Linked DNA regions of Oryzias latipes. The protein of the gene in region 2 binds, or shares a complex with, the protein of the main gene of each other region. Links are inferred from orthologs where the notes say so. Each region holds a gene or a part of one and is shown on either strand. Other genes may lie near its edges.

Region 1 (5,118 bases), on a different chromosome or scaffold from region 2:
TGGACTTGCTTTGATTTCTCTCATCTCTTCCTCCTTTTCTTCATGGTTGCGGTCAGTTATGTCTTCCTCTTTTTTTTCATGGTGAATTGTCTCATCGGGTTGAGCATCTTCACTCTGGAGCACTGACGAGGACCGGATGACATCTTCAAGTTTCTCAGTTTCCACATCATCAGTCTAAGAAAAAGTAAAGAAATTACATTTAAAAAACACATTTTTTGAAGAGTTTTAGGACTTTTAGCTCAACATAAGAACTATTAAAAGCATTTGTTTTATTAAAGCAGACTGCAATGTATTTCAAACTTGTATTATACAGCATTTTTTAAGAATCAATGTGCAGATCCTGCCTGTAACGCTGGAGTAGATTCCTTAATTCTGTCTCTGCAGTGTGCGTGACTCATCTGGAGTCGATTTTATCAGCAGCCTCCCTCATGCGCTGCCCATTTGCCTCCTGATGCTTAACTATTGAATAGTGCTGTCTGTCTCAGCGTCTGTCTCTAGTGTCTGAGCTAATCTGTGGCTCCTCAGAGGGGGGTTAAAGTTTTAGGCCTTTAAAGACCCACTCTGATGAAAACTGTGTTTTTAACATGTTGTTAAAAACAATGGCCTGATATTCAAAAGATGTCATGATGGCGGACATAATATGAAAAGAAAGTTAAGCTCTAAATTGTATTTTTAAGTACCTCTTTTTTCAAATTGTTGTTAATTGGGAGCAAACAAAAAAATGCAGTTTGAAAAAGATCATATTTGTTATGTATCCAGGTACGTCGGCGTTTTCTTCGTCCAAGCTGGCATGTGGTTCAAAACTGTACATCTGAACAGCTCCGGTATTGCTCACCATTTCTGTTGCACCAGTCATGTTAGGTGGGTGTGAGGGGCTGTAAGCTAACGGGAGAGGGTTTCAAAATACTGGTACCGGTAAGGGGGGAAGGGGTCAAACCACCCACGAATCAGAGGCATATTTCTGATGAACTACTACTGCTCTGTAGAAACTATGTCCCGGAAAACCACAGATTTTAGATTTTTGACTAAAATCTTCATAATTGATTGATACGGCACAATCATAGTCGCAGACGCGACGTTCACCTGAGCCCAGCAAAGCTGTGAATTAACCTAGCTGGGAACGTTTCCTGCAAATGGTGAGATGGCCAGCTTGAATTGTTCCTGTGACTAAACAAACCAGGCTATTGCAGTGCTAAAGAAAAAAAATAAAGAAATATTTTGAAATCTTTCCACTGGGTCCCAGTCAGCTTTAGGATTGATTCTAAAGTTCTTTTCATTTGTTTTTAAAAGTTTAAATGGAGTTGGCCCCTCATTTTTTTATTAGATTTACTTTTAGTTTATGACCCTCCTAGATCCACAGGTGGAGGTGTGCTGGTGGTCCCAAAAGTCAGAACAAAAACCCACGACGAGGCCTGATTTCAGTACTGTGGGCCTTCCATGTGGAACGTCTCCTCAGGCAGGTGAGGGCTTCATCCACTGTGGAGGTTTTTAAGAAAAAAATTAAAACTCATTTTTTTAGTAAAGCCTTTATGTAGTTTTTACTTGTCAACATGTTTTCATTAGATTTTATAAATTTTATCAGCAATTGATGCGCTTCATTTTGATTGTACCTGTGGGATGTGTATGTTTTGGGTCTGTATGTGTTTTAATGTTGTTAATTTTATTTTATCATTATTATTTTTACTATGTTTGCTATTTTAACTACTGTTTTTTATCTTACAATTATCTATTTTATTATGGAAAGCACTTTGAGAGGCTTTGTAGTCGAAAAAGTGGTGCACAAGTAAAGTTGAATTTGAATTACAAGACCACTGGGAATTCTGTGAAAATAGATCAAAAGATGGTTAGAGTAGGTCTTTAAAAATGTCAGCTATGCATTCAGGATGTTTAAAATCAAATACTTTTAAGTTAGCAATAGAAAGTGAGAAAGTACTTTCTCTGTGCCTTTTGATGCATTACTGATCTGCTCCTCTTCTGTGAGATTTTCCTGATGTGATGCTTCTTGGCTGCTTTTTTCCTGATCTTGATCCAGCAGAGCCAGACTTGCCTTCTTCTGCAAATACAAAGGTGATACAGGAACAAATCTAAGCTTACAAGTCTAAAGTTTACAAGTATACATCTTATATAAACCATAAAATGTTTAAACTTTCATTTTGTTTTAAGTAGGGCTCAGCTGTGTGTCAGTAGAGGTACAGACAGTTTCTGTGTTAAAGGTAAAAGGTGAGTCTTTGTTGTTGAGGCCCTACTTATTTTACATCCTGCAGCATAATGAGTTTACGTGCTCTAACACTGTTATCCTCTTAAAACCTGTTTGACGGCATGCAACAACATGGGTATAATCAGAAGCAGCTGGAGTGCAAAATCTAGATCCATCATTTTAAAAAAAAAATGACACTATGGTTGGTGTGTTTACACACTTTTCTAATAGTTTCTAATTCAGCACTGCATTTGCAAGACAACGTTTCAAAAAAATTATGATATATGCAATCACTTTATGTTTTTATAGCGTTTTGTAAATGGAAAACACGGAAAAGTAAACCACGTAATGCTTAAAAACACTGTAAATCAACAACTTTTGTGTTTGCATCCTTTAGTGCCCCCTGCTGGTGAAAACAACAAAACGACTCACCTTCTTCTCGTACAGCGTATTTGAGTTATACTTGTACAGCCAGTGGGCCAAATAAAGGATAGGGTCCACGGGTTTCCGTTCAACCACTTCAGCAAGTCCTTCAGCCAAACATTTCCCCAGATGTTTATTAAGATACTCCGAATCCATCATGCTACACGTTTTCTGATTGTTTATCTACAGAGCAAATATGGAGGCTCGGAGCTATTAAGGCAATAATGACGAACAAAAATGACCTGAAAGCGATTTTATGGATAAAACCTGCACAAATTAGCCAAAATTAACACGGAAATTACCGTATTTTACTGTTTTATGCGGACGGTTGCATCTCCGTGGTAACGGTCCCACACAGTTTAAAGTCTCCCAACCGTTTTTTAGTTCCGCTTTGTATTCGATGTCATTTCTATAATGCAACCATTGGTTGTTTCAGGCATTGTTATTACTACTATAAATATGATGATGGTGATGATGATTTTTATAATAATAATAATAATAATAATAATAATAATAATAATAATAATAATAATAATCCTCAATTATATTAATAACACCCCCAAAAAAAACTACAGACAAAAAGAAATATTTGTGAAAAAACCTCATTGTCATTCATACACACACCCATACACAGACGCACAAAATAGTATTTGTGAAACAGATTAAATATTTTGACGAGAAAGTGATCATTTTGAGATGTGTTTTAAATTGCTTTCCAGTAGTTAAACTCAATAAAACAATATTAAAATTCTTTTGCATCTTTACAAGTTTTGCTTCAATGTGTTATGAAGCAGAAAGAGACATCAGTCACAGAATGTCAGAAATTGGGGGAGGAATAATTCAAAAGACTATGTTAAAAAAGGAATTCATAAAACTAATAGTTATCTTAATCTAAATGGTGCAGATGCTACTACATAGTTATTTAATAAAAGCAGAAATAAAATTGTTGGAAGATTCTATATTCACACTCAAAGAAAAATGTGATTTGTGCATTTTTACGAAATTTTTACCACTAGGTGGCGCAGACCCTGTTAGTCTTACTGACTGCATAATAGATATATTAAAACATAATGTCCTATTGTACAGTCAATGGCTTTATCTACTGTTATGATAAACTGTTCTGTCCTTAAAAAGTGGGCCATTTGGTAATATGTTTAAGTAGAAAAATGGGAGAAATTGCCACTTATAATAACTGAGAAAGATACATGTCTAGAATGTCTTATATATATTTTTCATCTTTTTCCCCTCCATATTACATTACAATTTCTTGCACTGGGATTTTTGCAATTGTTTGGATTTTTTTTTGGTTCTGTTATTTACAGAGTGGCAGTCTCATTATAAAAAAAAACCTTGTTTTAAACAAACTGTTAGAAACAGACCTCAGTTGGAAACTCCCTCTTTATCCCTGTTTTATCGTTATATGACAGACAGGGCTGTGGGTGGTAGTTTGTCCCTCGTGGTGTTCCATAGGTTAATATTCATGGCCAGCACCTGTCTGTTGAGCTGTGATTGGCTCATGAGGCTGATAAATAGCAGCTGTGAGTTCCACCTAGATGCTGGTTTGGCCTTGGTGGGTGAGCTTGACATGTGGGCTTTTTTTTTTTTTTTTTTTTTTTTTTTTTTTTTTTTAAGCTAAAGCTTAATCATTTGAGTCCTTTTACAAAAGTTTTTTAAGCATTTGAGTTTGCAACATTTTAAATTCTATTTATATTAACAGGTGGTGGCATGAGTTCTGACCCTGGGGCATGAGCGGTAACATAAGGGTTTGTAAACATGTATTTGTCCCAGGGAGAACTAACTTATTTTTCTTTTTCCAGCAGAGTTGCCACTGCTGTTTTGCTTAGTGTTTTTAATGTTTAAATCAAGCTTGACACCCTTGCTCTTATCCATTTTTTTAAACTGTTTGCTCATTTTAGTCTCTTGGTGGTTGGACCTGGCTGGAGGTGGCTGCCTCCTCCCTTTATCCTTACGGTAGCTGGTGGGTGCCATGTGTAGTATTGTGTAAGGGGGATTTCCCCCCCCCCCCCATTTCCGGCCTACAAATTAGTGGTGTCCTGCTCAGTTGCACCTCTTCTGTTTTGTATTTTCTTTTAATCACTGTTTGGGTTGTGGTGTGTTTGTGTGAATTTGGGCCCTGAGCAGGTACTCCTGGTGAGGGTTTGGATTAGAGATCTCCCTTGGTGGTGGTCGTCGTGGCTACCCACCGGTGCAGTGGGGCCGAGGCGATCCTGGAGGCAGCCTCCCTCATGCGGTGCTGGAGTGTGGTCCAACTGTCTTTATTTTAACCTTCTCTTTTATGGAACGTGTGTCAAGTTTTTAATTGTATATTTTTAACAACTATCAAACCCAGTCTCCCTTTGGGGGTGCAAATGTAAGAGGGCATTCGGTCACAGTCTGGAGATTACTTATTATGTCTGTCAGTAAATGATCCAAAGTGGTCAAATTGAACATGTATTGTCTTTACTCAATTATCTGTCAGGATCACAGACCAAAACACT
Region 2 (4,881 bases):
AACATAGGTTTGAGAATAGGGACTCTTAACGTTGGCACAATGACAGGGAAAGGCAGAGAGCTGGCAGACATGATGGAGAGAAGGAAGGTAGATGTACTGTGTGTGCAGGAGACAAGGTGGAAGGGCAGCAAGGCACGTAGTATTGGAGGAGGATACAAACTGTTCTATCATGGTGTTGATAGGAAGAGAAACGGGGTAGGAGTGATTCTGAAGGGGGAGTTTGTAAACAGTGTTCTAGAGGTGAAAAGAGTCTCAGACAGGATGATGAGCCTAAAGTTAGAAATTGAAGGGGTGATGGTGAATGTAGTCAGTGGGTATGCGCCACAGGTTGGCTGTGAGTTAGAAGTGAAGGAGAGATTCTGGAGTGAGTTGGATGAGGTCATAGAGAGTATCCCCAGAGGAGAGAGAGTTGTTATTGGAGCAGACTTTAATGGACATGTTGGTGAGGGCAACAGAGGTGATGAGGAGGTGATGGGCAGGTTTGGTGTGAAGGAAAGGAATCTGGAGGGACAGATGGTGGTGGACTTTGCGAAGAGGATGGAAATGGCTGTAGTCAACACTTACTTCCAGAAGAGAGAGGAACATAGAGTGACATACAGAAGTGGAGGTAGGAGTACTCAGGTGGACTACATCCTATGTAGACGAGGTCATTTGAGAGAGGTTAACGACTGCAAAGTGGTGGTAGGAGAGAGTGTAGCCAGACAGCACCGCATGGTGGTGTGTAAAATGACTCTGGAGGTCAGGAAGAAGAAGAGAGGGAAAACAGAAAAGAAGACCAAGTGGTGGAAGCTACAGAATGAAGAAACTTGTGAGGAATTTAGGCAGAAGTTGAGACAGGTCCTGGGTGGTCAGGATGAGCTTCCAGATGACTGGGAAACTACAGCAGAAATTATCAGGGAAACAGGTAGGAAGGTGCTAGGTGTGTCATCTGGAAAGAGGAAAGACGGTAAAGAGACTTGGTGGTGGAATGAGGAAGTACAGGAATGCGTCCAGAGGAAGAGGTTGGCTAAAAGGAAGTGGGATGTAGAAAGGACTGAGGAAGGTAGACAGGAGTACAAGGAAGCGCAGCGTAGAGTGAAGAGAGAGGTGGCAAAGGCCAAACAGAAGGCTTACGATGAGCTATATGACAGGTTAGACACAAAGGAAGGAGAGAAGGACTTGTACAGGCTAGCCAGACAGAGAGACAGAGATGGGAAGGACGTGCAACAGATAAGGGTGATTAAGGACAGAGATGGAAAGGTGCTAACAACTCAGGAGAGTGTACAAAAAAGATGGAAGGAGTATTTTGAGGAGCTGATGAACGTGGAAAATGACAGGGAAAGAAGGGAGGAAGATGTGGTTGTTGTGGAGCAGGAAGTAGCAGAGATTGAAAAGGATGAGGTTAGGAAGGCTCTGAAAAGGATGAAGAGCGGAAAGGCCGTTGGTCCTGATGACGTACCTGTGGAGGTATGGAAGTGCCTAGGAGAGACAGCAGTGGGATTTCTAACAAGGTTGTTCAATAGGATTTTAGAGAGTGAGAAGATGCCTGAGGAATGGAGGAGAAGCGTTCTGGTTCCGATCTTTAAGAACAAGGGTGACACGCAGAACTGCAGCAACTATAGAGGAATAAAGTTGATGAGCCACACAATGAAGCTGTGGGAAAGAGTAGTGGAAGCCAGGCTTAGGAAGAAGGTGGAGATTTGTGAGCAGCAGTATGGTTTCATGCCCCGTAAGAGCACCACTGATGCCATTTTTGCTTTGAGAATGTTGATGGAAAAGTACAGAGAAGGTCAGAAGGAGCTGCATTGTGTGTTCGTAGATTTAGAGAAGGCGTATGACAGGGTGCCGAGGGAGGAGCTGTGGTACTGTATGAGGTCGTCTGGAGTGGCAGAGAAGTATGTCAGAGTAGTTCAGGACATGTATGAGAGAAGTATGACGGTGGTGAGATGTGCTGTAGGTCAGACAGAGGAGTTCAAGGTGGAGGTGGGACTACACCAAGGATCAGCTTTGAGTCCTTTTTTGTTTGCTATGCTGATGGACAGGCTGACAGACGAGGTAAGACAGGAATCTCCCTGGACAATGATGTTTGCGGATGACATTGTAATTTGCAGTTAGAGTAGAGAGCAGGTGGAGGAACAGCTAGAGAGGTGGAGGTTTGCTCTGGAAAGAAGAGGCATGAAGGTCAGTCGTAGTAAGACAGAATACATGTGTCTGAACGAGAGGGATCAAGGTAGAAGCGTTAGGTTACAGGGGGATGAGGTGAAGAAGGTGCAGGAGTTTAAGTATTTGGGGTCAACAGTTCAGTGTGATGGGGAGTGTGGAAAAGAGGTGAAGAGGCGAGTGCAGGCAGGTTGGAGCGGGTGGAGGAAAGTGTCAGGAGTGTTGTGTGACAGAAGAGTGTCAGCAAGACTCAAAGGAAAGGTGTACAAGACAGTGGTGAGACCAGCTCTGCTCTATGGGTTAGAGACGGTAGCAGTGAGACAGAGACAAGAGGCTGAGATGGAGGTAGCGGAGATGAAGATGTTGAGGTTCTCCTTAGGAGTGACCAGGTTAGACAGGATAAGGAACGAGTACATCAGAGGGACGGCTCATGTTGTCTGTGTTAGGGACAAAGTCAGAGAAGCCAGACTGAGATGGTTTGGACATGTTCAGAGGAGGGATAGTGGATATATTGGTAGAAGGATGTTGGAGATGGAGCTGCCTGGCAGGAGGGCGAGAGGACGGCCAAAGAGGAGATACATGGATGTCTTAACAGAGGACATGAAGTTGGCTAATGTTAGGGTAGAAGATGTCCATGATAGAGTGAGGTGGAAAAGGATGATTCGCTGTGGCGACCCCTGATGGGAAAAGCCGAAAGAGAAAGAAGAAGAAACTCACGCTGCACTCCAGGCAAGCAAGTCCATGGGCTGCGTTCGGATGGCTGCTTTGGCGAAATTTTTGAGGATATCTGGTAGTTCTGGTGGAATGTTGATCTGCTCGGCACAGTACAGTGTGTCTGGAAGGGGCATGGCTGAAATACGTGCACTGTAGTTTGTCGGCCAGCAAGTACTAAACAAAAATAAGAAATTAATTGTATTAGTAATTTTTAGTTAGTTTAGTAGTTTGGTATGAATAACCCATTTATTTCCCTTCCAAATAAAAACATTGCATTAAACAAACAATAATTGAAGTGTTAACAAAATGCAGAAATCCCTTACTGACTACGTCACGACATCTTTGCAACATTTAGCATGTGCGTGCATCACACATACGTTTAAATTAAGTGATAATTATTTATAGTGCTGAGAAAAACAATCATATTACGTTACCTGGAAAAATATGTAGACTGTAAATAGTAATAAGCAAAAAATGCCTTAAAATGTTCACCAAAAAATCGTAATTGCTGTCCTTCTGATTTACGCCACAATTCGTGTCCGTAAACTGACAGTTGTATATTACCGTCGCATGGCAACAGAATTCTTCTTCTGTCGCTGAGGTCAATGGAGCCGCATGTGCATATCGCCCCCTGCTGTTTTAGAAATGTTACTACAGAATGTCATTGACCCTTGTGCTATCCTAGGCACTTTACCATTGGGAGTTGGGTCATCTAGACCCACTAGACCAGGGGTCGGGAACCTTTTTGGCCAAGAGAGCCATAAACGCCACATATTTTGAAATGTAATTTCGAAAGAGCCATACAATAATGTAGTGTCCCTTTCCCACACTGAGGCACGGAGACTTAACCTCTTTTAAGGTTCTTTATTCGGGTTACTGCAGACCGCGACAAACGCCGAACAATTAATTCAGCAACTCCTGAATCTCTCCCGCCGAGACGAGACGAGAGCGCGTCTCCCAACTTTATATTCCCCTGCTCCCGCTGCAGCCCTCCCCTTTCCCTTATTCGGCCCATAGCTGAACCCCATTGGTCCAAACTACCTAACAACAGGCTGAGCGACAGAACTGAGAGCCAATCAGCTCTCTGCTTGATGCGGTCAATGAACTCCAGAACTTTTAACGCGGCCCAACAGCCATCCAACTCAGTCCGCGACAATATGTTTAAAACTAAAATACAAGTGAATGTGTGCATTTGATGTAATTTCAACCTTTTTAAAGTACAATAAGTCTGTGGATTCTTTTTAATAACATTGTTATGCTGTTTCTAATAAATGATGAGTATTTCTCGTGGTAGTTTTGCTGATGGTCTAGTCTGGTTTACGTGGTGAGTTTCTGCTTCATGCAGGCGTTGAGACTTTAAACGTGATCTTAGGTTGGTATGAATGTTTTGTAGATGTGAGACAGACTGCTCACATGCGGACCTGGAGCCAAACACACACTCACACGCTGCAGTGAGTGACAGGCAGTGGGTTTTACCTATTTACAATCCCTGCGCGATTCACCTGCTGCCTGTCCCCACAACACCTCAGCCCCACCCTCTGCTTTCTCCCTCACACATCCCGTCCCCGCAACTGCGCGCTCTTTCTCAGAGACGGGAGCGCGCAGTTTTAGGCACGGCAATTCACAGGTTTCCGGGTGGTACAAACTCTGTGAATTAATAGACAATTTTAAACTTATACTAGTGCTGGCGCAGGAGCCAGTTTAGCTCATGCTGGTTTGCGGCGCCTTCCATCCGTGAAACCCGAGTTCGACTCCGGGCTGCTCCCTGTTCCCTTCTCTACCTCTGCTGGTTCCAAGCCCAGTTTGAGAAGGTTGCGTCAGGAAGGGCATCCGGCGTAAAACATTGCCAAATTTACCATGACCCCTGATGGGAGAAGCCGAAAGTGGAAGAAGACTAGTGCTGGCGCAGATTTGTCTCTCTAAGCACCGCTACTACTGCGCGCCTCTGCCATCGCATCGCGCACGAGAAGGACTGGTCTAATGAAGAAAAAAAATTTGAATTAAAGATTTGTCTGCGAGCCACATGTG

Evidence for each region. Proteins that work in one complex are often made in the same cells at the same time.
Region 1: ropporin-1-like protein (region 2) and DPY30 domain-containing protein 1 share a complex: the UniProt entries of both Homo sapiens proteins name them as parts of the axonemal radial spoke complex. The link is inferred for Oryzias latipes from reciprocal best matches to the Homo sapiens genes ROPN1L and DYDC1.

The regions. Positions count from the first base shown.
Region 1 is NC_019877.2:16,026,208-16,031,325, forward strand, and holds the start of DPY30 domain-containing protein 1, read right to left. Parts: upstream 2,991-5,118; 5' UTR 2,923-2,990; exon of another isoform or gene 2,863-2,922; intron 2,804-2,862; 5' UTR 2,780-2,803; coding exon 2,630-2,779; intron 2,054-2,629; coding exon 1,934-2,053; intron 175-1,933; coding exon 1-174. UniProt on the Homo sapiens protein: Functions as part of axonemal radial spoke complexes that play an important part in the motility of sperm and cilia. Plays a crucial role during acrosome biogenesis.
Region 2 is NC_019878.2:13,557,267-13,562,147, forward strand, and holds the start of ropporin-1-like protein, read right to left. Parts: upstream 3,441-4,881; 5' UTR 3,288-3,440; intron 3,028-3,287; 5' UTR 2,988-3,027; coding exon 2,857-2,987; intron 1-2,856. UniProt on the Homo sapiens protein: Functions as part of axonemal radial spoke complexes that play an important part in the motility of sperm and cilia. Important for male fertility.